Lepisosteus oculatus: one gene and its partners. The protein of the gene in region 2 interacts with the protein of the main gene of each other region in a pairwise test. Links are inferred from orthologs where the notes say so. Each region holds a gene or a part of one and is shown on either strand. Other genes may lie near its edges. The genes, in order: pnkp, trim37, prc1b and si:ch211-236d3.4.

Region 1 (7,573 bases), on a different chromosome or scaffold from region 2:
GGTGCTCGTTAACTGCTTAACTACAGACGTTACATACAGAACAAAGACTGAAAGAACAGCCCAAATCACTGTGGAATCTACTTGTTGAATCAGAAGATCACCTTTATCGTAACGAACTCCTTGGTAAATTCAACAGCAGACCTTAACTAACTTAACCAGATCTCTTTCCACAAGCGACAGAAGCCGTGGAAACAAACCAGGCCCGTCCCACATCACGCAGCTTTACAAAAAGCTTACAGATGGAAGATAAAACCTCAGACGGATAGCTTTGGGAAGGAAACTGTAAAACTTCTCTGCACGCTCCATAACAAAAACGCGGAGTTAGACAGGAGCTTTCCATGCGCTGCCGTATTACTTAGAGAACGTGGTGTTGTAGATCACAGCTCTATCTCTAATGAAAGAAGATTTAAATAGGGAAGTCATTGATGGGGAAAGAAAAGTCACTTTACTGCTAAATTAGCTACAACATATAAGCCTAGGGGGGCCGTCTCCCCTATCCCAAATGTGAGACATGGATATCAGTGCTGCAGAACCCCACAATGTCCCCCCCCCACATCTATCAATCAGGTGGGGCTGCACACTGGTGGTGGTGGAGGGGATCCCCATTACCTGTAAAGCGCTTTGAGTGGAGTGTCCAGAAAGGCGCTATATAAGTGTAAGCAATTATTATTATTATTATTATTATCAATCCCAGTTGAAGCTTTGACTCACCCTGGTGTCGGGAACACTTCTTGTCCGACACTCCTGATTCTGGCCCGCGGCCCAGTATCACTGCACGGCCGTCAGCCAGCGGGACAGCCGGGCCGCCCTCGGACTGACTGGTCAGCTCACAGTGCATCTGGGAAAGGAGAAACAGGGTGAGAGCCGCCGAAACACACCGGGAGGGAGAGCACTTCCAACCCTGAAAAACACACAAGGCATCTGCACATGGGGAGAGCCACAGAGAGATAGGGCTGAGGAGGGGGTGCTGTTCTGTGTGGAGTTTGCATGTTCTCTGTTGGTTTGCATGAGGTTTTCTCCAGGTGCTCCGGTTTCCTTCCAAAGGAATTGGCTTCAGGGAAAATCGGTCCTGGTGTGAACATTTGTGTCTGCATCTGCCCTGCAACGGGCTGGTGTCCCATCAGGGCTGTACCCAGTACCCTTTCTTACACATCATTACAGGTTTAGGTGACTGAGAAGTGTCTCTGAGATTTTCGATAAAAGTCTGTGACACTGGGCAGAGTAAACACTTCCAACCTCAATGCAGAGAGGTTGTTTGTTCAGATGTGGGGGTCCCTTGATCAGAAGCCAATGTAAAGTTGACTTTGGTATACCTAGGCACATCGTAGGTTAATGGCTGTTAATGAGCAGTACAGAAACACACAATATCAGATCACAAGAAGAAACAGGAGGAGAAGAATATTGAGAGGAGAGGAGTTAGAACTCGAAGCTTGCGCCAGGCGAGAGCCCCTACTTCATCCAAACCAAACCTGACTGGAGCTAAGTCTCTGAACCTTGTTAGAGCGAACTGTTCTGTGTTTCATGTTTCGTTGTGTGTAGTGTAGCTTGTGTCTTGCCATTGTAAGAAACAGTTGTTTAACCAAATGTGCCTGGAATATAACTCTTTTCACCAAGCTTTGCTGGAGAACAAAGACTTTGTGTGCCTCTAATTATACCAACTGCTCGGGTATATATATATAACTTACAAATTGGGGATATGACTATTTATTTTACTTATTGACTAAACCAATCAGTTAATTTCCTGATTTTCACAATTTTTAATCACCCATTTGTAACAACAACAACAATAATATTTCCTTACACTTATATAGAGCTTTCCTACCCACTACAGTACAAGCTGTTGACAGGTAATGGGGATCCCTTCCACCCCCACCAGTGTGTCACCCTACCTGGATGACACACCAGTACGCTCATGATTGGTAAAGACCAGGTGGAAATGTTCCCAGGACATCCCTACTTTATTTGAGAAACACCCTGGGATTTTTATTGACCAGGGACTCGGGACCTCAGTTTTATATCTCATCCGAAAGACGGCGCCATTATTACAGTATAATGTCCCCCTCACTGAACCTGAACCCTTATCTTAGTCACAAAATTAAATTAAACTATCATGGTTGGCTTCAGTTCCTAAGTAGTTTGAGGGTTGCCTTTATAATTTAAACAACTTAAAATATAATACTTTCATGTTAATATTGCGTTACATATTAGGTTATGGGAATGCTATTTTTCGAAGCCTACGTTTAAAATTTTAGTTTTAAAGACGGAAAACTTCAAAAGATCAAAGTGAAATAACTTGTTTCGATGAAATATTTACGTAAGGCGCTCTAGAGGTACGAAAACCAGCAGTGTGGAGTCCCCAGGATTCAGATAAAAGCCACCTTATTTTGGCATTGTGTACATGAACCGCGAAACTACTCAACTGTCGTGTCGTTGTGTGCGAGTGTTTTACAAGATAAACTGCACTATTTTGCACCTGAATGCTTGCTTATGTAAACCTGCTGCTAACTGTAACAATAAAATAATTTCTACAAACTAAACTTTGATTTTTACTAGAAAACACTGTTCTTCATTTGCAAAGATGTGTGAAATCTTCACGATGCCCCCACTTGTCGGAAATGTTATGAGCCGATACGGACCGTTTTGCCTCTGGCAATATTTTTAGCGACACGTAATTTAGTCAACTCGCTGACCCCAGATCTGTGTCAGAAACGGCTCATAACGATGCGCTGTACTCACCTCGATCAATTCAATGATCCGAATCACGGAAAAACACAAAATAATGCGAAACGCCCCTGAGGCGAGTGAAATGGTCACCAACAGCCTATATGCAGTACTACTGGCGACTTTTTGAAAGCCAATAATGCTACTTCAGATTCTGCTCGATATGGTTAGTTTTGAACTCGCAGACATTTTCGACAAAAACAAACCAGAGTACAAATTATTGGTACTCCACAGCTACCGAAACGCCCCCCATCACCAGCTTTGTGCCGGGTCCGCCTGGAAACCTGTCCCCTCTCCTCCCCCGGCTCAGCGCAAGATGGTTCCGGCGACCCTCTGTTGGCGTTGGTATGCAGCTATCGACCCACACAGTCATTGTCAATAGCAAACTAACTTATTTACTAGTTCATTTACTCAATTTTGAACTATGTACATATGTAGAGAATACTTTATAGTTTTATGTGTTTAAATCGTGGTCCTTCCCATAGGAATTACTGTATTTGTTACTTGGACTTAAAGCAGGAGAGGCATCATTATTTTAATAATTATTCAAAATGACTATTTTATTCTGCTGTAATTTTCAAATGCTGAATGACAACCAGCAGATCCCATGTTTTTGTTGCTTTATTGAAAATTTGACAGAACTGGGGATCTTTGGAATTTTGTTTTCTCCAAACTTCGCAGAGGTCTGAAGCTCGGCAGGCTGGTACTGAATGTCATGTTTATTCAGTACAGGGTCACAGGGGTAGCTGGAGTCTATCCCAGCAAGCAACGGGCACAAGGCAGGATACACCCTGGACAGGACACCAGTCCATTGCAGGTCACACCTAGACACACGCACACTCACACCAGGGCCAGTTTTCCCAGGAGCCAATAAACCCACCAGCATGTCTCTGGACTGTGGGACGAAAGTGGAGCACCTGGAGTTGAACACTGAGAGAATACAAACTCCCCATAGACAGCACAACCAACTCTTGTATCCAGGGCTCCAACACAATAAAAACACAATAAAATATGACAGGACAGTGTTATTTACATAAGTTGATACATTACAGACTTTGAGATAACATTTTAGTTTTAGGCTTGAGTATAAAGTGCGTCATTCATGAATGGAGGTAAAGGACTGCAGGATCTAAAGGTGTCCAGGTTTTCCACATGTTTAACCTGCTGAGAGATGAAACTCTCCTCAAGTGTTTCTGACAAGAGTCAAGACAGTGGACGTCTTGGGCATCAACACTGAAGCACGAACCAGAGCAACGGGCACTACTTCTTTAGACCAAAAGTACTTCCTTTACCCAAAGGGTAGTGGGAGTATGGAACAAGTTGCCGAATCCAATACTCCTGGCTTCTTTCAGGAAACAGCCGGCTAAGATCCTAGAATCAACAAGCCGACAGCTCCCTGACGAGCCAGGTGAGCCGACGGGCAGCTCTCGTTTTCGGACGTTCCTACATCCCTGGAAGTTTCCCGAGCGAAAGCATCTGACAGATTTCATTGCAGTCGGCTCCATGCTGATCTTGAAGGAAGTACTCTATGCCCTGCCGATAAAAATTCGAGGAAGATTTGGGTTTCTTGAGCGAATGAATCTGTGGGTCTGTGAGGTAGGTTAATCCTTTTCCGTTTCCCGTAACCCAGCCTGCAAGAAAAGACACACAAAAAAGTGACTTTAGAGGGGAACTCCAGTCCCCCATTTCTCAGGCCGGCGATTACATCTCGGTAACAAATTAATTCATTGACGTAATAGAAAAAATTGCCAACTTTCAAATGAAGCACAAAATCGGGAACTTTGTGAAAGTACTGTAAGTCGCCGTGTCGTTGCAAACTGCTGGACTCACCACGGGCAAGAGTTTGTAAGAATTGTGACGTGAGGCGGCCCTTCCTGCTCACTAGTCCCTGAAATGACTAATGCACTGTGATGGACGAGCGAATAAGTACAGGTCGTGCAGCAGACATTTCACCACAGAAATGTCCCAAAGTGATCTGCAGGCAGAGTTAACAAGCAAGCAGTAGTTGTTGTCACAAAACCACCTCAAAATGGAGAACAATATTTCTATTGGATTAAAAGAGATGTATTCACAAGCCTGCTTGTGTATAGTGTAATAATAATTGGTAAAAGGTGCTTGTAATAGTGAGGCCGCTTCAATTCAATTCAATTTATGTTTATATAGCGCCTTTCACAACAAGGTTGCCCCAAGGCGCTTAACAATACAACTGATGATACATTTTGTCAAGACCAGCTTCACCTCACGGGACATTTCGTTGCCTCGTTCCGAACATGGCGCTGCCCAGACGTGGACATTCAGTCTATTCTGTGATGTACAGTAAATCAGGGGTTTTACATCAATGCCGATTCTTTCTGACCGCGAAATATGAAATAGCGCTGCAGTTCTCTTACACACGGGAGCAGCATTTTCCCCCAACTCACCCTGCAGGTCAACCACAATCTCCGTGTGGCCCGAGAACTCGAAGGTGAAATGACCGAACGCTATCCCGTAGTCTGTGGCTCTGTAGTCCCTCACGACGGTCTTCTTGTTGTTCGTTAGCTTAACGAAGTCCCCCAGCATGTATGGCTCCACGCTCACGCATCCTTTTATGAGCCTGTCTTCGAGAATCTAAGCACAAACGAGGGAAATGTTCAAAGTCCGCTGTCAGTCGCATTTTTAAAACTTTTTTTAACAGTCATTAAAAAGCAAGAAAAAAATTAAAAGCATAAACATAACGGGGTTTTTTTTTGCATTACAAACTCATATCACTCATCCTGCCCAATTCCAGACTGGTATCTATTTTTTTTTCTCATTCAAATTACTTAAGATCTGGCCCTTTAAGTATCTATCAGCCCCTCATATTGAGCACTGGCTGCATCAGAGTATTTAGGAGTCATGATGTTTGTTTAACCTTAAGTCTAATAACGGTTAAATGGTAACATTTATGCCCACTTCAGAGCATCCACATAGCTGAAAAATATCATGGCTAGAAACCATGAAGCTTATAAAAACAAAGTGTTACGCTACAATAATTGAAAGATTTATCATGATCATTATTATTAAAGGGGAACTGCCACACTATTTTAATATTTCATGGTTAGAAAGAAATGATATTTTAATAATCAAATTGATGAAATTTTAATACAGTTATCAGTGGTCTTCTTAAGAAAGTTATTCAATCTCTGTAACAAAATAAATTTGTTGACGGTATAGAAAAAAAGTACGAATTTCGTATGAAGCACGAAATGGTGAACTTTGTGAAAGTACTGCAAGTCACCATGCTGTTACAAATCCCTGGTCTCACCACGGGCGAGAGCTTGTGAGAATTGTGACGTGAGGCGGCCCTTCCTGCTCACTAGTCCCTGTACTGACTGATGTGATGGTGTGGACGAGCGAATACGCACAAGCTGGGCAGCAGACATTTCACCGCAGAAATGTTCCAACCTGATCGGCATGTGCAGAGATAACAAGTGAGTAGTATTTGTCTGGGAAACCGTCTAGAAATCTAGAGCAATATTTTAACTGGACTAAAAGAGATGGATTCACAAGCCTGCTTGTTTACAGTGTCATCAGGCCCACTTCACCTCACCGGATGTTTTGCTGGCTCATTCTGAATCGCAGAACATGGCGCTGCGCAGGCCTGGAAATAATATTCTGCGACATAAATTGGAGGTTTTACAAGTTACTGTGAACGTTTGACAAAATATAAAAATAGGGCCGCAGTTCCCCTTCAGCTACCCAAAGGGGCTGGATGGGTTGTGAAGGGCCTGTTCTCGTCTGCAGCTGCTGCACAAAGAGCCTTACCAGGAGGACCTCTGAGGGGATAAAGTAGATCTGCATGGGAATCTGCTTCTCGTACAGCTTCTTGTTGAACTCGGTGACGTAGTACTGTGCGGTCATTTGACGCTCCACGTCATTCAGGTGATAACGCAGCTCTTTCTCAGACTGATACTCCTTGCCCACGTAGCTGGAGAGGAAACAGCCGCGGGGGGGTTAGACTGTGTCAGCAGAGCTGTCGGCGACACCCAATCCGCAAACCAGCGGAGCCTGGGGCATTTTGCAATCCAGACTTCTCCGTTGATCTCGGCAAGAACAGCAGTCGAAACAATTTCTTTAAATGGTATATAAAACGCATGATGGTATGAAAAGGGTCCATATCGAATACAGGAGAAAACTAAGGATCCGTGACAGATCACACAGCAGGTTTACATGTCGCCACAGTTTCAGAACTGTTGTGCTTTTCAGAGCTGTTCCATTAAAGCTGAAATATGGGATTTTAGACGTATTGTGGCTAAGACAGGCTAAACTAGACTTTTGGACCAAACTTATGAACAAGCCTTAAGTCTCAGAACGTATCTACTGGAGCTTCGCGCCTTTTTAGAAACCTGCCAGGCACATCCAAAAGGTCAATAAAACGAAAGGAAGCTCTTCTTGATAAAGATTTCACATCTGCCCTTCAGGTATAAGTCCAAAACCTAACTACTCAGTTACCAAAACCATATCTCGACCCCGGCTGTTCTCCGCGTGAAAGTGATAGATTTGGTATGATCTTGCAATATCGAAATCTCACCCGCGGAGCTCTCTGAACAGAGTTACATTACTACCCCCACTACAGAGCCAAATAAACAGCTTTTTGTTTTCTTTCAGATATTATAGTAATTTTACAGTCGATTCTTTTTACAAACATACCTCTGTCGTCTCAGTAATCACTCGTTTTATCTCATATTGGCAGACATGAAAGGCAGTGTTTTACAGCTCGCATGTAGCATTGAGAGAAAGAGAAAAAGACGTCTCTGCTTCGTTAATGTTAATGTTTCTTTATTAGCCTTATACAATTTCTTGCATTAGGAATTCGTCTTTTCGCCTACCCCAG
Region 2 (7,175 bases):
CTGAGGCCCGCCCTGCCTCACCACGGTGGGCAGTACTCCTGCCAGGGCCTGCGGGCACGGGCCTGGCCGCAGCGCAGCCTGCCGAGCGAGCCCATCAGCATCCGCGTGACCGGTAAGAACCAGCAGGGCCACGATTCCTCCCTTTCCTCTCCTCGGTACCCATCCTGGCAGCTGTACTTCCTGCCAGGAGGCTGGCTCCTGTTCCCCAGACTCCCAGCTGTGAGCACTGTCTCCCGGTCTCGTGCCGCGTGCGCTGTGTGGTGCTGCAGGCCCAGCGCGGGTGACCCCGTGACACAGCGCGATTGCGGGATGAGTGAGGACAGTGGCGTCAGACCTGCCACAGGAGCTCGCTGGTGGCGCAGTAGCTGATGAATTAGAGAACTGGGAAGCGCTGAGAGGGGGTTGGCGTCTCAGGGCTGCAGGGTGGTGGCTGGTGGGGCTGGCCCAGCGGTCAGGCCTGCCCTGAGCTTGTGCCTCCTGCCCGCAGGCGGCTGGGTGATCCTGCAGACTCCTCCACAGCCGCTGCTCCGCGGCGCCGGAGCCACCCTGACCTGCCGTGTCCGCGGCAACCCCAGGCTGCAGCAGGTGGTCTTCCACAAGGACGGCCGGGTGCTGGCGAGGCAGAGCGGCCCCCAGCTGCACCTGGCCAGCCTCTCGCCCCGGGACGAGGGGCTCTACGGGTGCCGGGCCACCTGGGGGAAGAGGTGGGGCTGGAAGACTGCGGAGTCCCCCGAGGTCGGCGTGTCCGTCAGAGGTGAGCGCGTGGCCGATCTCAGATGCTCTCCAGAAAAGAGCAGCGGCTCATTCTCATGCCGCCCCAGCTGCCCTCTCTGACCCTGTCCGTCTGCTGACCAGACCTGCTGAGCGAGCCGGTGATGGAGGTGCTGACGGAGACCCCTGTCCGGCGGGGGCAGGACCTGGTGCTGCGCTGCCGGGCCCAGCTGACCCCCCGCAGGCCGGGCCTGAGGCTGCGCTACAGCTTCCTGAGGGGCGGCCAGCGGCTGGGCGTGGCCTCGTCCCAGGACCGCCACGTGGTGCGGAGCGCCGCCGCCCGCCACTCGGGGCGCTACTGGTGCCGGGCGACGGTGGACGGGCTGGGCCTGGGGAAGAGCAGCGAGCCGGTGCTGGTGCGGGTGATCGAGGGTGAGTCCCCAGGGCAGCTCGGCACCAGTGGACCAGGAGGTGGCGCTCCAGTGTGCTGTCCGAGGACACTGTGCCCCCACTCGGTTGAGAAGCTAGGCCTGGGCCCTGACTATCCCCCGGCCCTTTTCAGAAGAGTAGGAGTGTTAACCCTGGAGGCCGGGCTGGGGTTCTGCAGTCTGGCCCAGTAAGGTCACTTCTCAGCCTGATTGGGTGCCGAATCACCAGGCGTGGCCCCACAGGAATATGAATTCATTTCCAGAGAGAATGAGAAATTAAAATGTACTGGTCTGCCTGACACGCTCGGCCTCCTCCTGCTCACCTGTGCTTCATTCACAGACGAGGAGGCCGAGCTGGAGTCCACAGGGCCCAGCAGACCAGAGCATCCCACGGACCCCACACAGGCCCAGAACTCTCCCGGCAGCAGCCAGAGCCCGTCGCCAGAGACCTCGCCGTCCAGCTTCTGGAACCTCACAGAGTCCTCAGCATGGGAGGCCATGACCCCAGGAAATACAACTCTGTAAAGATTCCCTTATTTCAGCAGGGACTCTGCAGAGGGAGTTCAGCACCAGCACAGTGATAATATGCAATCACTGACATAGTACATCAGACAACTTCAGTGATTCATACTTTTTTGCAAGATAATTGGAAGCAATTAACCAACATCAATGCATAGAGGCCTAGAGGCAGTGGACCTGGAAAGATCTGTTAACCAGCCAGTCTGTCCTTTTAAAGTAAGTCAGAGACTTTGATTATTATTTCCGCATATTAGAAAATAATAGAAATACCTTTCTGCATTCCTCTGTGTTTGGCAAACCAGGAAAAGAAATTGAATTACAGCATTAACAACAATAAACGAAAATCTTGCTTTGATTCTAATCTAATGTTTGTTTTGGATTTCTCTTCAACTGTCCAGCTCTTGGTACTGTGTGGTGTAGCCCTGAGGATGAGCCTGGCTCTGCTGGTGCCAGTCAGGGGCTGGAGATGGGTGTCGGAAACTCTGAACTCCGTGTGTCTCTGATGCACAGGCCACTGGCCTTCTGCTCTCTCTGTTGCTCTGCTGGTTTACGTGTCCCGGCTCTGTTTAATAGAAGGCCTGCTGCTGGCTTTGCTCAGAGGCATAGTGACTGTGAGGATATTTTAGATGAAGCCAAAACACATGCCCATGTGTTCATGGGGATATCCTGTGCCTAACTGAAGGGAAATCTGACCTAAAGAGGAGGGAAAATTGAGTTTTCCGGATCAGAAGATGAGCCAAAATGAATCCCTGGGAACTATATATGTTGTTAATAATAATGTAATAATAATAATAATGTTTCTTTATTAGCCCTATACAATTTCTTGCATTAGGAATTCGTCTTTTCACATACCCCAGCTTTTCTCCAAGGAGACACAGACAGGGAGAGAAGCTTGGGGTCAGAGCGCAGGGTCTGCCATTGTACGGCGCCCCTGGAGCAGTTAGGGTTAAGGGCCTTGCTCCGGGGCCCAACGGAGTAGTCACAGAGCCACTGCTCCGCCCGATTTGCTTTATGCTTGATATGATACGATATGATATATGCTTTCGGTGTTGTTACTTTTGTATCCCAACAGAAGCGTTTATTGGCGGGAGGGCTGTTGATCAAACGTGGGTTTTAAAACAGTAATGACAAGTCCAGGGCCAAGAGCAGAGACTGAGCTGCGAGCAGAGCAGTGATTATTGGGTTGAGCACGGAGGGTGGATTCCAGTTGTCATTCCCAAGAAAGCCTACAGGGATCCTCCCTGCGAGTGAGAGCCGAGGTCCCGATGGAGCTCACCTCACGAAACGCTTCAATTAGCCCGCGGTCACCTGAGACGTCAGAACCGGCTCGTTGATCAAGGCTCCCCGCAGCCAGAGAGGATGATCCGGCTGCGCGCCCCCCCCGGGCATCCCGCATTTAGCATGTGGGTCACTTCCCCCTGGAGAGCAGGGGAGACCTCCTGCGTTGCAGAGCGAGGCTCCTCCGCGGGGGCGTCACGGCAGAGCCGAGCCTGGAGCATCTCACCTCCGCCAACCCCTTCGCAAGGAACGCTTAACGTTGAGCCCAGCAGGCACCAGGCTCGAGGCTGGACACCCCCAGGACACACACAGGGAGAATCCGCCTGCTGTTGTACCCGGGAGGAAACCCAGGAGAACATGCAAACTCCACACGGAAGGCGCACCAGGTCACAAATCAAAGCCAAGACCCAAGACCTGTGAGACAGCTTTGCTAACTATTGCAATTATGACACTCATATATGTCTCAGCTGTATTTAATGAATACACCTAGTAATTTTATTAATATATTGAAGATTAAGGGTGCCTATAATTTTCCATTATGGAACTGCGTTTCAGTTTGCTGCATACTTCCTTCAGTTAGGCGCAGCTATAATAATATACGTAGCTTGTCTTCAATTTCACGTGTTGGCATGTAAGATTAAATGATAAAGACATTGATATTTTTGCAATGTTGTGCCGATCTAAAGGGATTTAAGGTGAACCGACGTTCGCATGCGAGCACCGTTCATGTTGTTTATCTCTCTCCGCACTGTCTGTGGTTATGCAATGAAGCGCGCTCACACGGAGACCCCAGGACCCCCACCTGTGCAGCTGGGGTGACGCGCAAGATTTGAGGACGCTTCGAACCCGCCTCTCCTGCTAACGGAAGCGCCTCTAATCCCTTTGGCTGTCTGACGTCTTTCTTTTCCCTACCCCAATTCCTGAGGAGAGCCTCCTCATTACTGTCTGGGCAGGCCGCGGGGGTGTGGCTTCAGCGGAAGCCGCTGTGATTGGATACAGATGGAAAAAGTACCAAGGCGTCGGTGACTGGCTTGCGCTCCACTCTGAAAGCCTCTCGGCACCTGACCAATCGCAGCGGAGATGTGTCACGAAAGCCACACCCCCTTCACGCCCACCAGACCAGGGGGCGTGTCCCCCGAGTTCAGGGGGAGGGGAAAAGCGACGCGGCCCTTCTGCGACGCGAGATCCCGCCCCCTCTTCTCTCTGCCATTGGCGAGCGAGGATTTCAGCGGCTTCCGGCGGCCTCGCGAGAGAGAGGTGGGGGGGGCGAAACGGTCTCCAATGGTGACCAGTAGCTGTGACTGGCGAGGGGGAAGGAGAATGGAGGTGGGGTGCAGGAGCTAACGTTTAAAAGATAGGAAATAACGGCAAAACGAGCGCTTAGGCGTTGTTATTTTCCCACCAGCCCGTTGTGTGTGTGTGTGTGAGAGACAGGCGGCGGGGTGGGTGCTCAGCGCTCCGCCCTCACCTCTGCAGAGCCGCGGCTGACCGCCCGGCTGGGCACCTCCGAGCCCCGGCGACGTAAGTACCGCTCTCCCGGCTCCCTGCATGCTGCCCAGCCCGCCTCTGGACCCGGCCAGCGTCCTGGGCAGTGTGGGGGTCCGGGTTTTCCAACACCCCTGCCCGCGTCCAACCCACCGCCAGTCCTCCAGCGAGTGCCCAGCCTCTCGGCACCCCCGGGAGGGGAGGGGGCTGCGCTTCGTTTAACATCTCAATGAAGTTTGTTTTGGGTCCTTTCTTCAGTAGCAACGAGTTAGGCACAACTTGCAGAGAGCAGGTCTCCCCTGAAGGGCAGGCGGGCTGTAATTTGCTGGATAGCTAAAGCCAGACGCAGCAGGTTTCGGAGGAGCGCTGTGTCTGGGAGCTGCCTGGGATGCACCTCAGGACAGACCCCCTGCGAGACTCCATACCTGCAGCGTTCAGGGCCGCTCGCAGACGGCCCTGTCTTCTTCATTTTGGGTCTCTGCATAGGCGTGGAGAAGGATTGCTAAGCCTGTTTCATGGTTTGCCAAACACAAGCCGCTCAGGTTAGATATTTCCCGATTTACCCCCCACAATTAGAATCCCCAAAATGGCGAAAGGCATCCGCACGCTTCGTGTTTTGAAGCCACGTTTTCAGGCTGCCGTGGGTAAAATACATTTTTGTGGAGGGATGAGTGTGATCTAACGCAGAGCTGGCAGGTTGCAGTCTCAGTGGTGCCTGAGACCTGCCCGCATTGTCGTTACAAATAGCCTTGTGCCTGAGTCCGAATGCGCTTTACGTGCTAAATCTCGTCTGAAACCCTGCAGACCCCCAGAAATCTGGCGGCAGGTGTTTGAGCTCCTGCCCATTTCCCAGAAGAATGGACGTCTGGGCTTTCGGAGGGCTCTGACCACAGTTTGTAGCCATAGCGCTTTCGAGTGATTACAACCCTCAGAGCCAACAAGCAACCCTCATAAATAAAAATAGGGGCGAATCGAGGAGCTGGAGAATCTCTGCCTTTTTAAGCAGTCACATGGAAGGACTATACCATTTTGAAAAGAGACTAAGTAATTTAGAGACAAGAAATAAATTATATAATGTGAACAGGTTGGTATACTGTCAGTATCCCAGAGGTATTAATCTCTAGAGGTATTATGGTAAGGCCCTAAAGAAGTGCAGAAGGCGATGCCATTTTCACCGTTTCTCTCTGACACTGTGTATCTTGTAAGTGCACTAAGCTTGAAAATGTTTTCCGTCACGTATTTACTCTTCTAGATATACTGTACACTCAGAATGTGGTTTAAAGGATCAAATAGCTTGTGTTCATTCTAATTTAAAATCCTTTGCAATATGAGGTTTGGATGGTGGCTTGGATAGCATGCCAGTGCTTGGAAAGTTTAAAGAGCCTATTTTGTCTTAACGTTTGTTAAAGGCAGACTTCTAAGTCTTATTCAGTAATGCTCTTTTCACAGGTGTTGGGTTGAGCGGCTTTTTGTTTTCCACCTGAGGATACCAAGCAGGTTGAAAACCGTCTGAAATGGACGAGCAAAGTGTGGAGGTGGGTCAGAACGTGGGCGTCCGTGTAGCAGGAAGTCCTGGGTCTGCCTGCTTTGTGAGTTAAAATGAAGAGCTCTTGCCTTTACCTTAAGGGTTTCTCATTTTCTTTAAACCTGAGTTTGAACCTAAACTGAGTTTGGGTGCAGGTACAAACCCCAGGGCATGTCTGCAGTAGACTTATTAGGTGGATATCTTGGTTATTGAAGAAGCAGGTGATGGACTCCCCACACTCCCCTTTCTGACTGTATGCAGCCTGGTGGTTCTGTGATTTTAAACCTGCCCACTCCCATGACAGCTTTATTTCAAACTAGCATTTCACTCTTCTGAATACAGTGAGCTCAGCCAGCTCTTTAACTGGATTGGGGTCTGACCTTAATGAGAATTGATTTCATTTGCTGTGCTAGTATGAGTTATTTGAAGGTCTTAACAAGTACCGCCAGGGTTTGTTTTAAGTGTCAGTCATTCCCTTTTGCAGATGATGATAAGAATCCTTTTGTTAGTATTTTACCTTGGTTAGATAGTGTTGTTCATTTTAAAGTTGGATTTGCTGTTATCAGAAGAGCTCTGCTGCAGTCCCAGTCTGAACACCAGGACAGCATGCACAGCTTCTCTGAAATCTACACACAGAAGACCTGCTCTTCTCAGACTGTCAACTCTTAAAGCTAATGGAAATGCTGGTTAATTGCCATGGCAGAAAGCTCAAAACCATGTGCAAGTTTGTGCATTTGTAACCTAACACCTCTTGTCCAGTTATCTTTACTTTGCTATGGGTTCATGTTAGTGTAAAATGTGCGCCAACAACCTTGGGACAGTGGAGCCCAGCCTGCACTCCAGGTGGTGGCTATATCAGATTGAGGGAATTTCCCAGCATTTCATATAATGTATATCCACCCCATTTGGAATGGTGTGTTGTGTTTAAGACGGGACTCTCCAGCCATGACTCCTGTACCCCCTCGGGAGAATGAATGAGATGCATGGGTTTGCTCCTCCGTCGAGCCCACCAGCTGAGCCAGCTGTCCTTTGGCTCCACAGACCCTTGCAGGAGGTTTGAGCCTCTCAGAGGAACAGTCAGCCTCCAGCCCATATCACTGCCAGCCTGCAGGCTCCCAGCAGGTTGCAGGTGTGGCCCTTGGTGCTGGGAGAGCCCAGCTCACCAATACTAACCCTGCAGTGTCAGCGCTCACACAGAGACTAGTGGCAGAGCGGAGCATGGAGCTCGA
Region 3 (7,296 bases), on a different chromosome or scaffold from region 2:
AGGGAGAGATTAAGACTAACAGACCTTTTCTGCCACGAGGTTGGCAATGTGATGGCGGAAGTGGTCTAGCTGCTCCAGGGTGGGCACGGCGTCGCTGTCGATGCAGTAGGAATCGCTGCACAGAATGTCACACAGGTCCTGGTCCTGCTCTTTCAGTGCCTTTAGCTCCTGCATTCTCTGATTCTTCTGTTTTAACATCACCTCCAGCCGCGTGCGAATATCCTTTTCCAGCTGCAGCACTGTGCTGCCTTCTTCTTCCTGTTAACAAGAGCTTCTTTAACGACTGGAAAGACAGGCATGCGAATAACAGGCCAGGACTCGGGCCAAAACTGCTGCAACTGTTAAGCTAATGCAAGTTCCCCCACTCCCTGGTTACCCAAAACAAAAATTTGAGCTTTTTTTGATTGTATAAGTGATTAAGTAACCTACACCACACAACAAACTTCTAAACTAAACTTCCAAAATGTATCTGACAGAAACAGGACGTATGGCACAAAACACTTCACTTTGGTTTCCTTCATCACTCGTACCAGTATCCGACGCTTGCAATAACTGGATTTTTTTGCAGTTACCTCAAACGATGTCAGGTGAAGCTCCCTGCACAGCACATCCAGCTCTTTGCGGCACATTTCAATACTCTTCAGCAGCCGTTCCTTGAGGTTCTCTTCTTCTGCAATCATCATGTCCAACAGCCCCTGTGGAAATGATCTCTTATTGGTTCTGCGACTACTATCTCACTTATCCACATGCGTGGCACTTAGGCAAGCAGATATAGTTTAAAGCCTCAAAGTACTCACTTTAATGTGCTTTTTTACCACATCCGTCCTCTGCAATCGCTGGTCCTCTGGGATCCCAATCTCCTCCCAGATGTCTTTCAGTCGGCAAAGGGCTTTATTCAGACATGCCACAGACTCTGCAGCCAGAACCTCACTGGCAAAGCAAGAATTCAACCGTCAGCTCCGTGATAATGGTCAAAGCTCACCCAAGAACAACCCTAGTATGAAACTTACAAAGCAGGGATCCCACTCTTGCATACCCCTTTGTGTTTAATATTTAATATCCCAATTATTAAGGTTATAGCAATCAAAAAAGGCATACTGGCTGCATTAAACCAGTTTAACTTCAGGGAAATCTGGTAGTCATGAAGTGCTTGTTCTGCATCTAGGACCTGTTGTTTTATTCCGAATACTTTGATATTGCAGTCTCAGAAAACAACATGAACATTATGCTTTAGACTTACAGTTTATTAGAAATAACTAGGTTTGAAAAAATGTGCCCTCATTTACTTGACTAGCCTGTAACAGAATTTTGTTTCAGAGCTACTGTGAGAGTATTCAGCATACTTGGTTTAGAGTTACTCCACCATATTGGAATGTTAATTATTTGTAACAGCTACTAAAGCTCTAATCTCCCCTGGGTAAGACACACCCAGTCTGTTGTGCCAGTCTCTTCAAAGATTTTAAATGTAAATAAGAAGATTCTGTTTAAAAACGAGTGGATTAAACCACCTTTGTTTGCTGCGACACCAGCTGAATGTGTAGTGGTTTATTTCAAAGCAACATTTGATCAAACAGATTGAATTTTAAAAACTAATGTCTTTGGAATTGATTACTGCTCAGCGACAGTTCTATTGCCTTGCAGAAACTTTTGAAGAGACTTTGCACTTAAAACAGAAAAAGAAAATTTAAGACTTTGGGCCCTTATTCCTTGTACTGTTTATGCAGAACATTATGAACCAATAAGATCTTTAACAGGACAAACACCTGCACATTCAACTTTCAACCTCACGATTATTGTAAGATTATTGTATTGTGCAGCGATAAGATGGATGTCGTAAATATTTAAATTAAAAAAACAATACCTCACAATATTGTATCTGGACTGCATAAGGAGGATTATGTATAAAGATTTGCTTTCTATAAATATACCAGCACTAGCACCATTATCGCTTTCTGAGGTTACACCCACAAAACAGGTGCAATTCCACCCTTAGTGACGCAGTAGGAAAATGTAAAAGATGATTAGGTTCTTCAGTTCATTTTTTGGCACTTGTAGCATTATCGGCTTCAATTAGCTACCATAGCTTTATACATTGGGGCTGTAGTTTGATTAGGGCCCTGGCTTCAAACTCCAGGCGAGACATTGCTGTTGTAACGCTGAGCAAGGCACTGCATCAAGCCTGTTCCAATTACACATACCCAGCTGTAGAAATGGCTGCAAGTATTAGTAGCTTTGAATACAAACTTCAAATAAATTAATAATTAGTAATAACATGGCGTGTTTTTGAGATCATAGCATTCAACGCGTATCTAGGTACACGAAATATTGAATGATGCATTTAATTCAGTATTACATTCTAGAAGAACTCCCGAAGCAGTCGCGGGATGGACATCAATGTTCGCTTCATGAGCATGAATTGGTGCCATTGAAACGAAATCACTGCTGGCCTCGAAGCGACGTGTATTTTTAAAGCGACTTTGTTTCGAGTATTGTAGACTGAGGACGCCTGCGGTCGTATGCGTACGAAGTGCGGTTAATTTTCCTTTTAGGGATCTCAACCAAATGTTTGTTTTGATTCGAGACGCTAATAAACAACTGCAATGCGGGGTTGGACCTTCAAAGCACAGAGGGATATAAAAAGACACGATCAAAACTCGGCTGCCTAGTATTTGACATTTTCTTTATGCCACCTGATTAATTTCGGAAGTTAACTTAACCAAAAAAAACATGTTTAATAAAAAAAAACATTTAATAACTTACCTTTTGCGCATGATGAGACTCCTCGTATTCCTCAAAGATCCCCTTGATTCTCCTATTTACTATGTTTTTGATATACTTTTTTTCACAGCAGTCTTTTGCATGCAGGCTTCGTCGGGAAATTTCTGACCGTTTCTCTTTCAATTCAAATGCTGCGACTGAACAGTCGTCTCTTTCCATTGGCTAGGACAGGCGGGACGTCATCAGGACCATAGCAACAGGAGCATTTCTGGCCGTGGTTGCGTATATCCGGCGTGTTTCCAGGTTGGGTGTTTAGGTAAGGAATGGTGTGGTGGCCTTAAAAAAGACACCGAAATTATATTTGTAGTTGGAAGTATACAGTACACGATTCAGTTGTTTTTGCGTTCATGTGCATTCTCTGCGTCTAATTGTGCTTTTGCTTCTTTTTTTAAACCACCTTTTCGATCTCTTACATTATGTTGCATAAATGTAATAATTGGTGTGTTGAGAAAATGTTTTGCATTTTAAGTTAAATCACATGTAATGAACGGAAACTCTGGACACGTGAAAAAAAATGAATTTTCTAGTTCAATAAAACTGAACAGAGCTCGAATCCGCACTACTTTTTTCGTTGTGTAAAACGTTACTAGATCGTAGAACGAAGCATTTCGTCTTGTATAATTTTACGGTAAAATTATGTTTAATCTATTCATTTGAATTTGTAATTCAATCACAATCCACATGGTAAAAATACCCTTAAATCTTTCATCCTAAAATACAAGTTCCATAGTAGTTGCAGTAGTTCCCTGATGACGTCACGTAAATGCACACTTTAAAAAGAACCAGGCGTGCCCTTACCTTTATAATTAGGAAAATATGATGATTGCGATCAAATTGAGAATTTCAAGTTCTTTGTATTTTGAATGTGTCCAGAGCCACTTTGTAAAGTTTGGCAAAAATGTTAAATAAATGATGCAATCAAAAATATTTACAACTGAAAACTTTATTCATCTTCAAATCTGGTCCTCAACACCCCATGTGTACATTCTCTTCCGCTTCTGTTAAAATCCAGCTTCACCATTTTCAGAAATCCAAGCACAGGGAGGATTCAAACCCAAAGAATATGATCAGAAGTTCGTTATACCAGTCTTTCAACAGGAGCTTGGTGACAAAGACATTCCTAAGCCAGGGCCTAGAACCAGTTTAGGTGATGGTAGCAATTTCTTTTCAACATGCCCTGTTAATGAGAGCGGACTTGTCTATTTCTGTCATACTGAAACAATGACAGAATTTCCCCTTGAAAAATTACAGTAGAAATGTCTTAATTTAGTACGACCACCGAGAATCATCTTTTTATGTAGTGATGAGATATGTTTCATATATTTGTGAAATTAACTCATCTGAAATATCTCAGTGCAACATAGTGTGACCACTTGTTCTTTCTGATGTGATCACATTCCTTGTGGGGGGTTACAGCTGTTGAGGGATATCTGGGCATTCAGTGCAGACATGTTTGCTCCTCCATTAGTAAGGTGCATGAAGAAGACAATCGTTCCTTATATGAGCAGCTCAGCATCTGATCCACTGCTGCATCATGCACAGGCTCCATCAATGGCCGTGCTGCCAAGCCAGGAGACGCAACACCTGCACACGTACAGAGAGATCACTTAATTGGCCATATACAATTTATTGTATATGGAAATTTGTCTTTTGCATACCCCAACTTGCTCTCCATGAGACACACAGAGAAGCTTGGGGTCAGAGCGCAGGGTCATCCATTTATACGGCGCCCCTGGAGCAGCTGGGGTTAAGGGCCTTGCTCAGGGGCCCAACGGAGTAGGATTCCCCCTGCTGGCCGTGGGATACGAACTGGCAACCTTCCAGCCACAGGCGCAGATCCTTGGTCACAGAGCCACCGCACCACACCCAGATGTGATTCTTACATGTTGGCTGCCATCCCTGCAGAATTTTCTAATGCTCTTATCCACGGACAAATGGAAGGTAGAGAATCAAACATATGCCATATTCACAGCACTGACTGTACAAAGTGCTTGTCGGGGAAAAAAAAAAATCTGTTGCTATGAATTTCACACTGAAGCTGCTAGATTTGTTTCCTTGCAGTCTTTTGAGAGAAGGGAAACAAATCCAGACAATTATAAGAAAGTAATACCATGCCAGTTAATGTAGTTTTCTTGTTTTTATACTGAAACTTGTGTGACCAGTGTCTTGTTTACTGGCTTATATCAATGTTGTTCAAATGTAGGACAGTTAAAAATGAAGTGTATTAAACCTGGTCTGCAGTTATTTTTCTGGAATTCACTTGATTTCATGTTGCCCTGAAATGGACTGGTTTGATCTGTCTTGTGCTCAGGCAGACTCAGGGCTGCCTCAGTCCTTAGCAGGAATAAAAGAGAGGTAGATGGATAGTCTGTCTTGTAGAATGGAAAATAAGATTTGCTTGCTCTTTGGTCCTAAAGACTCTAGCATTGCATCATAACTACAAATTTAACATCAGTATCTAATTACACAAGATAAAAATGGATGGCAAGGAGTATTAATCTTATCTTTTTAAGAGATTTAAGTTTTTCTTCTCTCCTCTGATATGAAAAATGCTTAAATATCATAGTTATATATTCTACCAATATATTAACAAGAGAATCAAAGAAGAAATTGTTTTTTTACAGAGAAATGCCTTGTGGAATCTTAATCTGCAGCCTGAGCTCCCAGTTTTCTCTCGTGGAAATCACTGTTCTGTTGTCGTAGCGCCCCTGGTGTCCGTTTATGGAAGTGCTGTAGATGAGTCATTCTCAACTATCCAACAACGCCTCCAGCAGTCGGGCACTGTTAGTGATGGCTGTTGTCACGATGATGAACCTGTATCCTAAAAAAAAATTAAAGGACAGTTTTTTTAAAAACTTTTTTGTTCTATAAAACTGAATTGAGTTTCTGGTTTAATTTAGGTTACATTTAGTCACAAGAAATCATACCAGAAAACGCGTGCTGTACTCAAAGACTTCAGTCTCATCCTAAGGCCCTTCCGGACCACTCTGTCTGAGAACCGTGCAAAAACCAACTCCTCATGTTTTTAATTGACCATCAGGATCAATAAAAGAGTTAAGGACCTGAACTATTATGGAGCTGTAGAAAGGGCCACATGCCAGGTGAGCTTTATGCCTGTACATTATCTCTGCTTAGGTATTTAATGAACGACTATGAAATCATGAAACAGTCATGAAATGCAGTTTGAAATGTAGCTATACCTTACAGGCAAATCCATTCCATATTTTTTTATTTATTCCTGTGCCTGATGTGCACTTGAATCTTCCCAATTGCACACCTCAGCGTGGAGGAGCAGATATTTAACACACGTACCTGCCCTAGCATGCTTGACAGTCACTTCCTGGAAAGGCTATGAAGCTACTGTATTCAAATAGCTTTTTTACAGATTCCCTCCCAGGTTTGCACCACCCAGTTAATGAAAGCAGATGATTGCAATATGGATATTAGAAGAGATGAGAATTGTAACGATTCCACTAAAACTAGAGATTAATGCTATGTCTAGTATGGAGGGCTGTTGCTTGATTTTTTATGAATACATTATATGATCTGGGTTATTTGCACCCCTGGTTATCCCCCATTAACTCTGAGCACCATCTGTGCAGTTAACCATTTCTTTTGTTGCATTTAATTCCACTACAAAGTGGAGTAAAAACAAAGCCATCCTTGTGAATATGAATCTGTATTCCCTACAAACAGAATTAAACAATCACTAACACTGTATTTGTGTTCTTATTAGAAGCCTTCAAGAACGACTTCCTCACCTCTCTCTTTCCCCAGGAAGCGCAGGGCTGAGATCTCTGAGTAGGTACAGCCACCCAGGAACATGACGAGGATGGTGTTCTGGGAGTCACTCCTCGGCTTCACCTCCTCGCTGCTGCCTGCTAGAACACACACAGGGGTGTCTGCTGGGGGCAGGTTTCTCTGGGGCTCCCACATCCAGTGAGAAAACCTAAACTCCGTTGGGCCCCTGAGCAAGGCCCTTAACCCCAGCTGCTCCAGGGGCGCTGTACAATGGCTGACCCTGTGCTCTGACCCCAAGCTTCTCTCCCTGTCTGTGTGTCTCATGGAGAGAAAGCTGGGGTATGTGAAAAGACAAATTCCTAAGGCAAGAAATTGTACATGGCTAATAAAGTGATCTTATCTTATCTGGGCAACATCTTCTTAATAGGAGTTAAAGTGGAACGGCAATGCTATTTTTATTTTGCGGGGTTAGAAAGAATCGTCATTAACGAGTGCATTTCAAACCAGACTAAAAGTGAAATGTACACAGTAACTTGTAAAACCTCCATGAACATCACAAGTTGAAGAAATTTCCAGGTAGGCACAGCACCATATTCTGTAATCAGAACGAGAGAACAAGACTCCGGTGACGTGTTGCGGTCTTAATACATTGTAAACAAGCAGGCTTTGAGGACAAATACTGTTAACTCTACGTGCACATCACATTGGAACATTTCTGCGGTGAAATGTCTGCTGCGCAACCTGTACTTATTTGCTCTTACATCATGTTACATTAGT
Region 4 (7,513 bases), on a different chromosome or scaffold from region 2:
TTTATTATAAAATTTAATTTAGAATAATGTGACTTTTTTAAGCTTTCTGTAACTTATATACCATTTTCACTCTATTAAAGCACATGTTGTATTATGTCACCTCTGGCACATTCACAAAACTCCTGAAGGGTCTGGATGATGGCAACATGGATGAAATTTCAGCCATCACTCAGACTGGCATTTCTAGCAAGCTGTAGACTGCTGGTATAGTCCAGTACAATTGTGGATTACCAGCCAAGCCTGCACATTCCTTTACTTATTGGATAAGCAGGTACACTGTAGAGGCAAAATGTAGATATCAGACCTAATGATCATCTACTGTAGGTAACAGCTGCAGCTGATATTTTTCAAAATCTTTATATTGCTGTACAGTACATATTTGTTTTTATTGTTTATATGTTTATTATGAGGTCCGTGTTTGGTTTAATACTTATGTAAAACATAATAATACTTGCTTCTGTTTAGTGCTTTATTTAGAAGTCACACTAAAAACCACACATTAGTATGACATTTGGATTACCTTGTATAGCATGGTAACATTTCCACATAGCATAATGTTTCAGGGTAGTATGGTGTACTGTATATGCTAGCTAGAAGGAGAACTAGATAAATTTGAGACCAGCAGTTTTGCATACTTATTTTTAATGGTGATCTTGTTTCCTTGGAAGGCTTCTTTCTTTGGAAGAATAGGGGAAAATCACCCCGCATGTCCATTGTTTGCTCTGAGATTAACTGTGTTGTGATCATTTCGCTCTGTGTCATGTCCTAGATCTCTCTTTCTGTGATCTTGAGTAATTGTGAAAGCTGAAATTTCAAAATTTTATATAAAACATTTAATTTCTTCATCTTGTTGAAAAACGCATAATCAGCAGGACTGTTGCTATCCTTTTTGAACAAATGTTAGTTTCCAATCATTTTATTTTCATCTGTTCAATAGCAAACTATATAGTATTCACCCCTGATAATACAGGCAGGACTATTTTACTCTTGTGTTACAACTTATGTTCAAGACATTTACATTTAACGTATTTTATATGTACTCATGATGCATAATATATTCTGTAGAATGACAGGGGCTTGTAGATATTAACTATAAAAAACAATAATGGCTTATACAAGATTTTACAAAATACCTTTAAAAAATAGTTTTTATATAGTCTGGACTTCCTAAAACATTCCTTATTTACAGCCACAAAGCTTATTGATTTGCGCAGCTGTCAGTTGTCATTGCCTGCTCCTTGACCTCTAATTGCACACTCTCTCCCTGCCCTCAGCTAGAATGCTCCACCCCATAGTTTAAATATTTGGGAATTTACTCAGCTTTAACTTGTGTGCTTGCTGGGTTTGACAGGGCTAGCTTGCTGTAAAGCTGCAATACTGTTTCACTGGTTAATAAAACAGTCTCTGGGACTTTGTGAATCTGTAGTTCAACTAGTGTTATAGTATTTATACGTGTGTTACAAATGTCATGATGAAGTGTTGCTGTAAATGGCAATTTGGTGGTTGATGACATTGTATGACTTAAAATGGCTCTGAGGTTCTGGAGGAAGATGCAAGTCCCACATTCATTTTATTCTAAAAATTATCTAATCTACAGTTACGTGGACTTTTACTACTATGATAAAAACAACGTGTCTTTCATTAAATAACAGTACAGTTGAATCAGTTAAATTCTTTTTGAACCTAAGACAACTCTGAATGTTTATTCTGTATTTGTCTGGCTCCTATTTTCATTTCTTGTTTAAAATAAATTAAATTGAAAAAAGATTACTCCTCTGGATAACAAGTAGAAAGTCCATAAAAACAAGAGACCTTATACAGTACATACAGTATAAGTATATTTATAAGTAAATACTAAAATCCTTGAGCTTCAAGCATGGCCTGCTATTTACAGAATTCAATAGAAGTTTTTTTTTTCATTTTGTACATGTTTGTATTTTGTCCTGGTAGTTGTAGGTGCTTAACAGTTTAACAGTTATTAAATAGTTAATTCAAAATGGTCGACAGTAGGAAATGTTCCATATTGACACTTGTGCTAGTATTCCAGTTCAGGGGAAAAAAAACCCAATCAGCAAATACATAAGAAAGGGATCATTTTCCTTACTTTCTTTCCATGAGCTGCTCCCATGTTGTCTGGTCCCTGTGTGCCGTCCTTGGAGTCTCTTGGAGTACCTATTAGCAGTGTCCGGAGAAGGAGTTTCCACTTTACTGTGCCTCTGTATTGCTAGCAGAGTGCTGCTGTCCACACAATCTGTAGAAGGCACAGGCTGCAGCAGAGAGTGTAAAAAAAAACAGTCCCTGGCTCCCTGACAGCTCTAGGTTATTCTACAGAAACTGGCAGGCTAGATCAGCAGGATCTTAAAGTAAGCACATTCAGCACCAGGTCCCTGGAAGTGACCACAGTCTACAATGGTGACAGAAGCCACAATAAGGGAAGATGGCATACTACAGTTCCTACAGCACACCTAGTGAGAGCATAAGATCACTTTTATAAATAACAAAAGAGAACAGAACCTGGTTGGCCACCTGTGCATGGCTGACTCCCCACTCTTAAAGGCTTAGGAACATAAGTGAAGATTATGTTAATTGCCACTGACAGGCCAGGATACCACAGAGAGCACATGGCCAGTCTTACAGAGAGCCTCACTGCAGGAAAATGACTATTATAGCTTGGAAAAACAGAAAGAGACAGTCATTGATTTAAAGGCAAGGTACAGTACTATCCCTCGTACCTGTTTTTCAATCCTCTGCTAAGGATCTGTTTCACAGAACTTAATAGTAATGAAAACTAATTGAAATGAAAATGCACTCTCCCTGTCTGTCAGCCTGGACTCAGAGCAGCTGGGTGTAGAGGAGCCTCTGGTTTGAGCTTTAGCTAATGACATCACAAATGGGCACTTCTTGAACTTTATAAAACCTCTTTGCTGCCTACAAGCAGAACACACTGCTGCTGCCTCACACAATGAAACTGTTCTGTTCCTCTATCAAATGCGCTTTGTTAGCAGGACTGAGGAAACTAAAAGCTTAAGGTGGAACAAAAGTATTGCGTGGATTGATAAACTGTAAAGCTAACCCAGGAAGTAAACATTTGTCTTTTAAAAACTAAATACACACCATTGAACAGTAAATATAATATATAGTAATTTGGTGCAATAAGGAGATGTATAATTATCATGCAGGATTTAACATTTTTGTTCTCAGTCAAAAGTTGTCTGAAAACATTTGAAAAAGTTTGAGTTCCAGTGTGATAACCTGTGTTGTTTTTTTCAATGTTTGTCTCAAGGGGAATACAGACTATAAAGTAATTAAACATTGAATTGTAAAAGAAAGTGAAAGTGTCAGAGCTGAATGAACAGTGGAATAGGAAACAAATTAACAAAGGCTTGAGAACTCTCTTAATTTTATTATTCAGACAAAAACCTTCAGTAGAAAATGAGAGACAAGTCAGTCTCATTTGTGCAGCAAAAATACTAACACAGCACAACACCTCAATTATATAAATAAACTTGAATTTTACATTACATATAATGTGTAATTAGACCTCAACAACATTTCGATGTAAAAAAGACAAAACCAAAGATTCAAAGTCAATAACATATTAAACACAGCACCAATCCTGTGCTTAATGACTGAACTTCCAAGTTCTGATTTATTAATGGTGGGGAACAGAGTTCACCCCAAGTGTTTGAGTGTCTGTACTGTTGACCTTTTTTAACAGCTTTTAACACATTTTTCATTTGAAAAGTAATGCATTGACACAGAGAGATAAGTTTGACAAAATGGAACTTACAAAATGCATGCTAAAGAATATAAGAAATGGATCACAAACAAAATCTTTCTTTGCAATATTTAACTTAACGTGATTCATGCTGTCAGTCTGAGCCCCACTGTACATCTGTTATATCTTCTTAGGAAAACATCCATCCATTTCAATCATCTCAGGCCAGCCATCATAGATGTTTGTATCCTGGGCATTTTTCAAATGCTTCAACAGATAAGTAAAACACATGAAAAAATGCTACCTGGCAATAGTGGAAGATTATTGTTGTTGCAAAAATTGTCATTATGCCAACAAAGTTTGTACAATTTATCCTTAGATTGCTGTGGCACTGAACTGAAGTAAAGCACTGTTTATAACACAGTATTCACTTACTATTATGCACACATTTATACTTAACATTCCGTGAGGTGTGGAAAGGGCTGGTGTTCAGTTTATTCTAGGTTTGGGCAACCATACTAAGTTATGGTGACCTCTCAACTCAGGAACATGTTGTTATAAATTGCACTTTATGTGTTGGTAACTTATGGTATATTTATTTTTGCATTTATAGACTACTTTTAATTAGTTTTAAGGTTTATCTTTTGCATCATATGATTACTTACAAAATGAACATTTTTTCATGCAAATGTTTAATATTTTCAGACTTCATTACCTTTTCAAATGGACTCTTCTCTTCAATTCCTTCAGCTCCTATGAAAAGCCAGTTATCTCGATATTGCACTGATTTTATCATGCTACTTCCAAACCTGGTAAATATTTCTCTGATCTCATCATTCATGCTGAAAGAAAAAAAGAAAGGCTTAGCTTGCACAATGTGAATTATCTGTACTCTTGTCTGCTATGATTTTATAATGATTTCACAGGTAGACTATCTGGTAAACATGGAACTTTCAAAACTAGATGAAAATCACCATAACTTTAGAGAACATTTAGGTTCTCTAAACTCTAAAAAACCTAATAGAGAACAATATTGATTGTGATTTTAAAATATAAAGACATATTATAAAACAGGATTATTTCTTCCATCAGAAATGAAGAAATTCATATTCAGAAAAAAATATTCACCATCGTAATACTTACTTTGTTGCTGGTTCATCATATGAAGCCACTATAATAATTGTCCCAGGCTTTATTGCTTTAAGGAATTCCAGTAGTCCTTTGACATCTATGACAATATAACTAATTCAGTTAGAATGAAGAAATAAAAAAAAAATATATACTATATCCAATATCGCCACTGCTAATAATATTACATGCATATCTACAGTTACAAATCTTTTTTAAATCAATTCCAAAATATAGCAAGAGAAACATTTTATTATTTTAATGCATTCAGAAGTGAAGGCTTTTAAAGGAAAGCAGTCACAGGCTTGTTGTGAAATGGCAAGGCACTACAATATCATTTATAATTGCTTAATGCTGCTTTTCTTACTTTCAGAAAACTCTTGATTTTCTTACTACATAGTGCAAAGGAGTCCTTTATGTCTTACTAGTGAATAGTCATTGCTAATTAAACTTCATCTGTCAACTTTCAGCAGTTACCTTGAGAGAAGATACATCCGCACCTAAACTTAACACATAAAGGAAATCTTACCTCCAGCATACATGTTAAAGGATTCAGCCTTAATTATTTCCCCAGTCTGCCCTATAAACCAAGAAAGATGTTTTTAATCTAATGGTAATTCTATTTTCTTGTAGTCTTTCGAAAGAGTAGTTATATCATCTCTGCTATCAAGTTTTCTACAACATTTTCATAAAATGTTTTTAAAATATTTTTTGAAATTTCTGTGAATTAAATGTCATTGAAATTAATACTCTAACCATAAGAGTAACAATTTATATGACTTAAAATCAACATTATATTTTAAAAAACATTTGATTAAACCTACCTTCCGAATAAAACCAGTAATTATGGTACAATTAACAACTTGAATGTAGAGCTTCATTATGTCTGCAGACCTTTTACTGAATATAATTTTGCTGATAACCTAAACACTCCTATTCTAATGGAAGTAATTGCACTTACCATTTACAAGCAAAATGTTCAGTCCCGATCCAACATTATTTAATGCATTACTCATAACACTGGAAAGATAACACAAAGAGGTACAGATCTGAAATGTATAGGGCATAACAATATCAACTCTTTCCAATACTAAACAAAAGTGGTGAAATATTGTTTTTTTCCACAAAATGAAGAGTGAAACAAACTAAAAAAAGATCAAATACTTTTAAAAAGTAATAATATCATAAAAAAAGATAAAATAAAAAAAATGTTTTTTACAAGTATGCAAATGGCAAAGGTATGTTATAGTTTACTGGTGCCAAAACAGTCCTCTTTTTTGTTCATTTTATTTATAAACACTCAACATACTGCAACAATCATTACTGGCAGTAGCTTTCTTAATGGGAAAGATCAGGCAGTTTATTATTGATGTATAGTTTATTCTTTCAGGGAATATCAGAATGACTGAAGTGCAGAATTTGAAGTAACTGTTCAAGTCGTAAGGCAAGTAAATGTTAACACTAATACAGTACACCTGTGTTCACCAGTGCAGTCCCTAGTGTCTAAACGTCCTGATCTAATCAATGGTGATAGTATACTGCCACCCTCTGGTGTGAATGTCTCAGCGTTATTCAATTTTAAATTGAGGTGATATTGGATACTAAATCTTGCTGTAATATTATACATTAAATGCAATTTATTTATAATTTAAGTATTGTGAGTGTATAGTCTTGTATAATTATGAACAGATAAAAGTAGTGGACTAGCTGCCCTAAGATTCACTACAAGTTTCTTTCTATGTTTTACAAGTATTAAAAAAAACCTTTTTGTGATATAGAAAAAATACTAAACCTGGTAGTTTAGAGGCAGCATGGTGGCCCAATAGTTATCATTGCTACCTTGCAGCACTGGGGCCCTGGGTTCAGTTCTGGGGTACTATCTGTGTAGAGTTTGTATGTTCTCCCATGTTTGCATGGGTTTCCTACAGGTTCTCTGGCTTCCTCCCACAGCCCAAAGACATTGGTATGTCTTTATACATACTGGTGTAGGTTAATGGACTTCTGGAAAAAGTGGCCCTGGAGTGAGAGTGTGTACAGTACATTGTGTCTCTGTGTGCCTGTGACTGTTTGGTGTTCCTCAAGGGTGTACCCTGCCTTGTGCCCTTGGCTAACCAGAATAGGCTGTGACTCTCCCCTTAATTGGATAAAGCTGTTGGAAAATGAATGGATGGATGGTAGTTTTGGATAAAATCACTGTGTCTGAGAAATGCTTTTACAGATGCTTCTCAATGGTTTATTTTGAGTAATGTCCATTTTCACTAGGCCATGTAACTGACTGGATAATAATCATTCAAGATTATTATAGTACTGCATATTACATTAGCATAGGGATCAACTCAGGTCATCCCTGTATCCCTGGTACTAGCACAAGAGAAACAACGATAATGTTTCCTCTGAAACACGCACTGTTGTTCTACCAAGACCATTAAGTTCTTCTCACAAAGTGGGTCGCACAGCATAAGGAGCACTTTTGGGGGCATCTGGGATATCAAGAATAGTAGTCCTCATTGATAGTATTGCTAGCATTTGCATAACAAACCACAAGGGGGCACTTATGCAGATAGCCAAGAATGTTTCATACACATCCTGTGGTGCTGGAATGTCATTTGTTGTGGTTTTGTGGAAAATGTTTTCCAATAAGAATTGTACTCTAATAATAAGAAAACG

Evidence for each region.
Region 1: the proteins of trim37 (region 2) and pnkp interact in binary tests that used the Homo sapiens proteins (3 or more experiments, as listed by UniProt). The two-hybrid records come from large-scale screens. The link is inferred for Lepisosteus oculatus from reciprocal best matches to the Homo sapiens genes TRIM37 and PNKP.
Region 3: the proteins of trim37 (region 2) and prc1b interact in binary tests that used the Homo sapiens proteins (3 or more experiments, as listed by UniProt). The link is inferred for Lepisosteus oculatus from reciprocal best matches to the Homo sapiens genes TRIM37 and PRC1.
Region 4: the proteins of trim37 (region 2) and si:ch211-236d3.4 interact in binary tests that used the Homo sapiens proteins (3 or more experiments, as listed by UniProt). The two-hybrid records come from large-scale screens. The link is inferred for Lepisosteus oculatus from reciprocal best matches to the Homo sapiens genes TRIM37 and FAM107A.

Annotation. Positions count from the first base shown.
Region 1 is NC_090718.1:4,412,611-4,420,183, reverse strand, and holds the start of pnkp (bifunctional polynucleotide phosphatase/kinase), read right to left. Parts: upstream 3,020-7,573; 5' UTR 2,737-3,019; intron 839-2,736; coding exon 712-838; intron 1-711. Other genes in the region: alpk1 (alpha-protein kinase 1), read right to left, coding at 4,165-4,352, 5,142-5,328, 6,505-6,667. UniProt on the Homo sapiens protein: Plays a key role in the repair of DNA damage, functioning as part of both the non-homologous end-joining (NHEJ) and base excision repair (BER) pathways.
Region 2 is NC_090721.1:715,664-722,838, reverse strand, and holds the start of trim37 (E3 ubiquitin-protein ligase TRIM37), read left to right. Parts: upstream 1-4,153; 5' UTR 4,154-4,457; intron 4,458-5,870; 5' UTR 5,871-5,935; coding exon 5,936-6,010; intron 6,011-7,175. Other genes in the region: high affinity immunoglobulin gamma Fc receptor I-like, read left to right, coding at 1-112, 488-754, 856-1,143, 1,480-1,664. UniProt on the Homo sapiens protein: E3 ubiquitin-protein ligase required to prevent centriole reduplication. Probably acts by ubiquitinating positive regulators of centriole reduplication.
Region 3 is NC_090700.1:49,381,749-49,389,044, forward strand, and holds the start of prc1b (protein regulator of cytokinesis 1b), read right to left. Parts: upstream 3,009-7,296; 5' UTR 2,772-3,008; coding exon 2,761-2,771; intron 931-2,760; coding exon 798-930; intron 696-797; coding exon 573-695; intron 259-572; coding exon 25-258; intron 1-24. Other genes in the region: vps33b (vacuolar protein sorting-associated protein 33B), read right to left, coding at 5,526-5,599, 6,540-6,659. UniProt on the Homo sapiens protein: Key regulator of cytokinesis that cross-links antiparrallel microtubules at an average distance of 35 nM. Essential for controlling the spatiotemporal formation of the midzone and successful cytokinesis.
Region 4 is NC_090699.1:47,312,695-47,320,207, forward strand, and holds the start of si:ch211-236d3.4 (actin-associated protein FAM107A), read right to left. Parts: upstream 3,015-7,513; 5' UTR 2,129-3,014; coding exon 2,105-2,128; intron 1-2,104. Other genes in the region: protein FAM3D, read right to left, coding at 3,899-3,985, 4,434-4,560, 4,862-4,946, 5,376-5,426, 5,808-5,866. UniProt on the Homo sapiens protein: Stress-inducible actin-binding protein that plays a role in synaptic and cognitive functions by modulating actin filamentous (F-actin) dynamics. Mediates polymerization of globular actin to F-actin. Also binds to, stabilizes and bundles F-actin.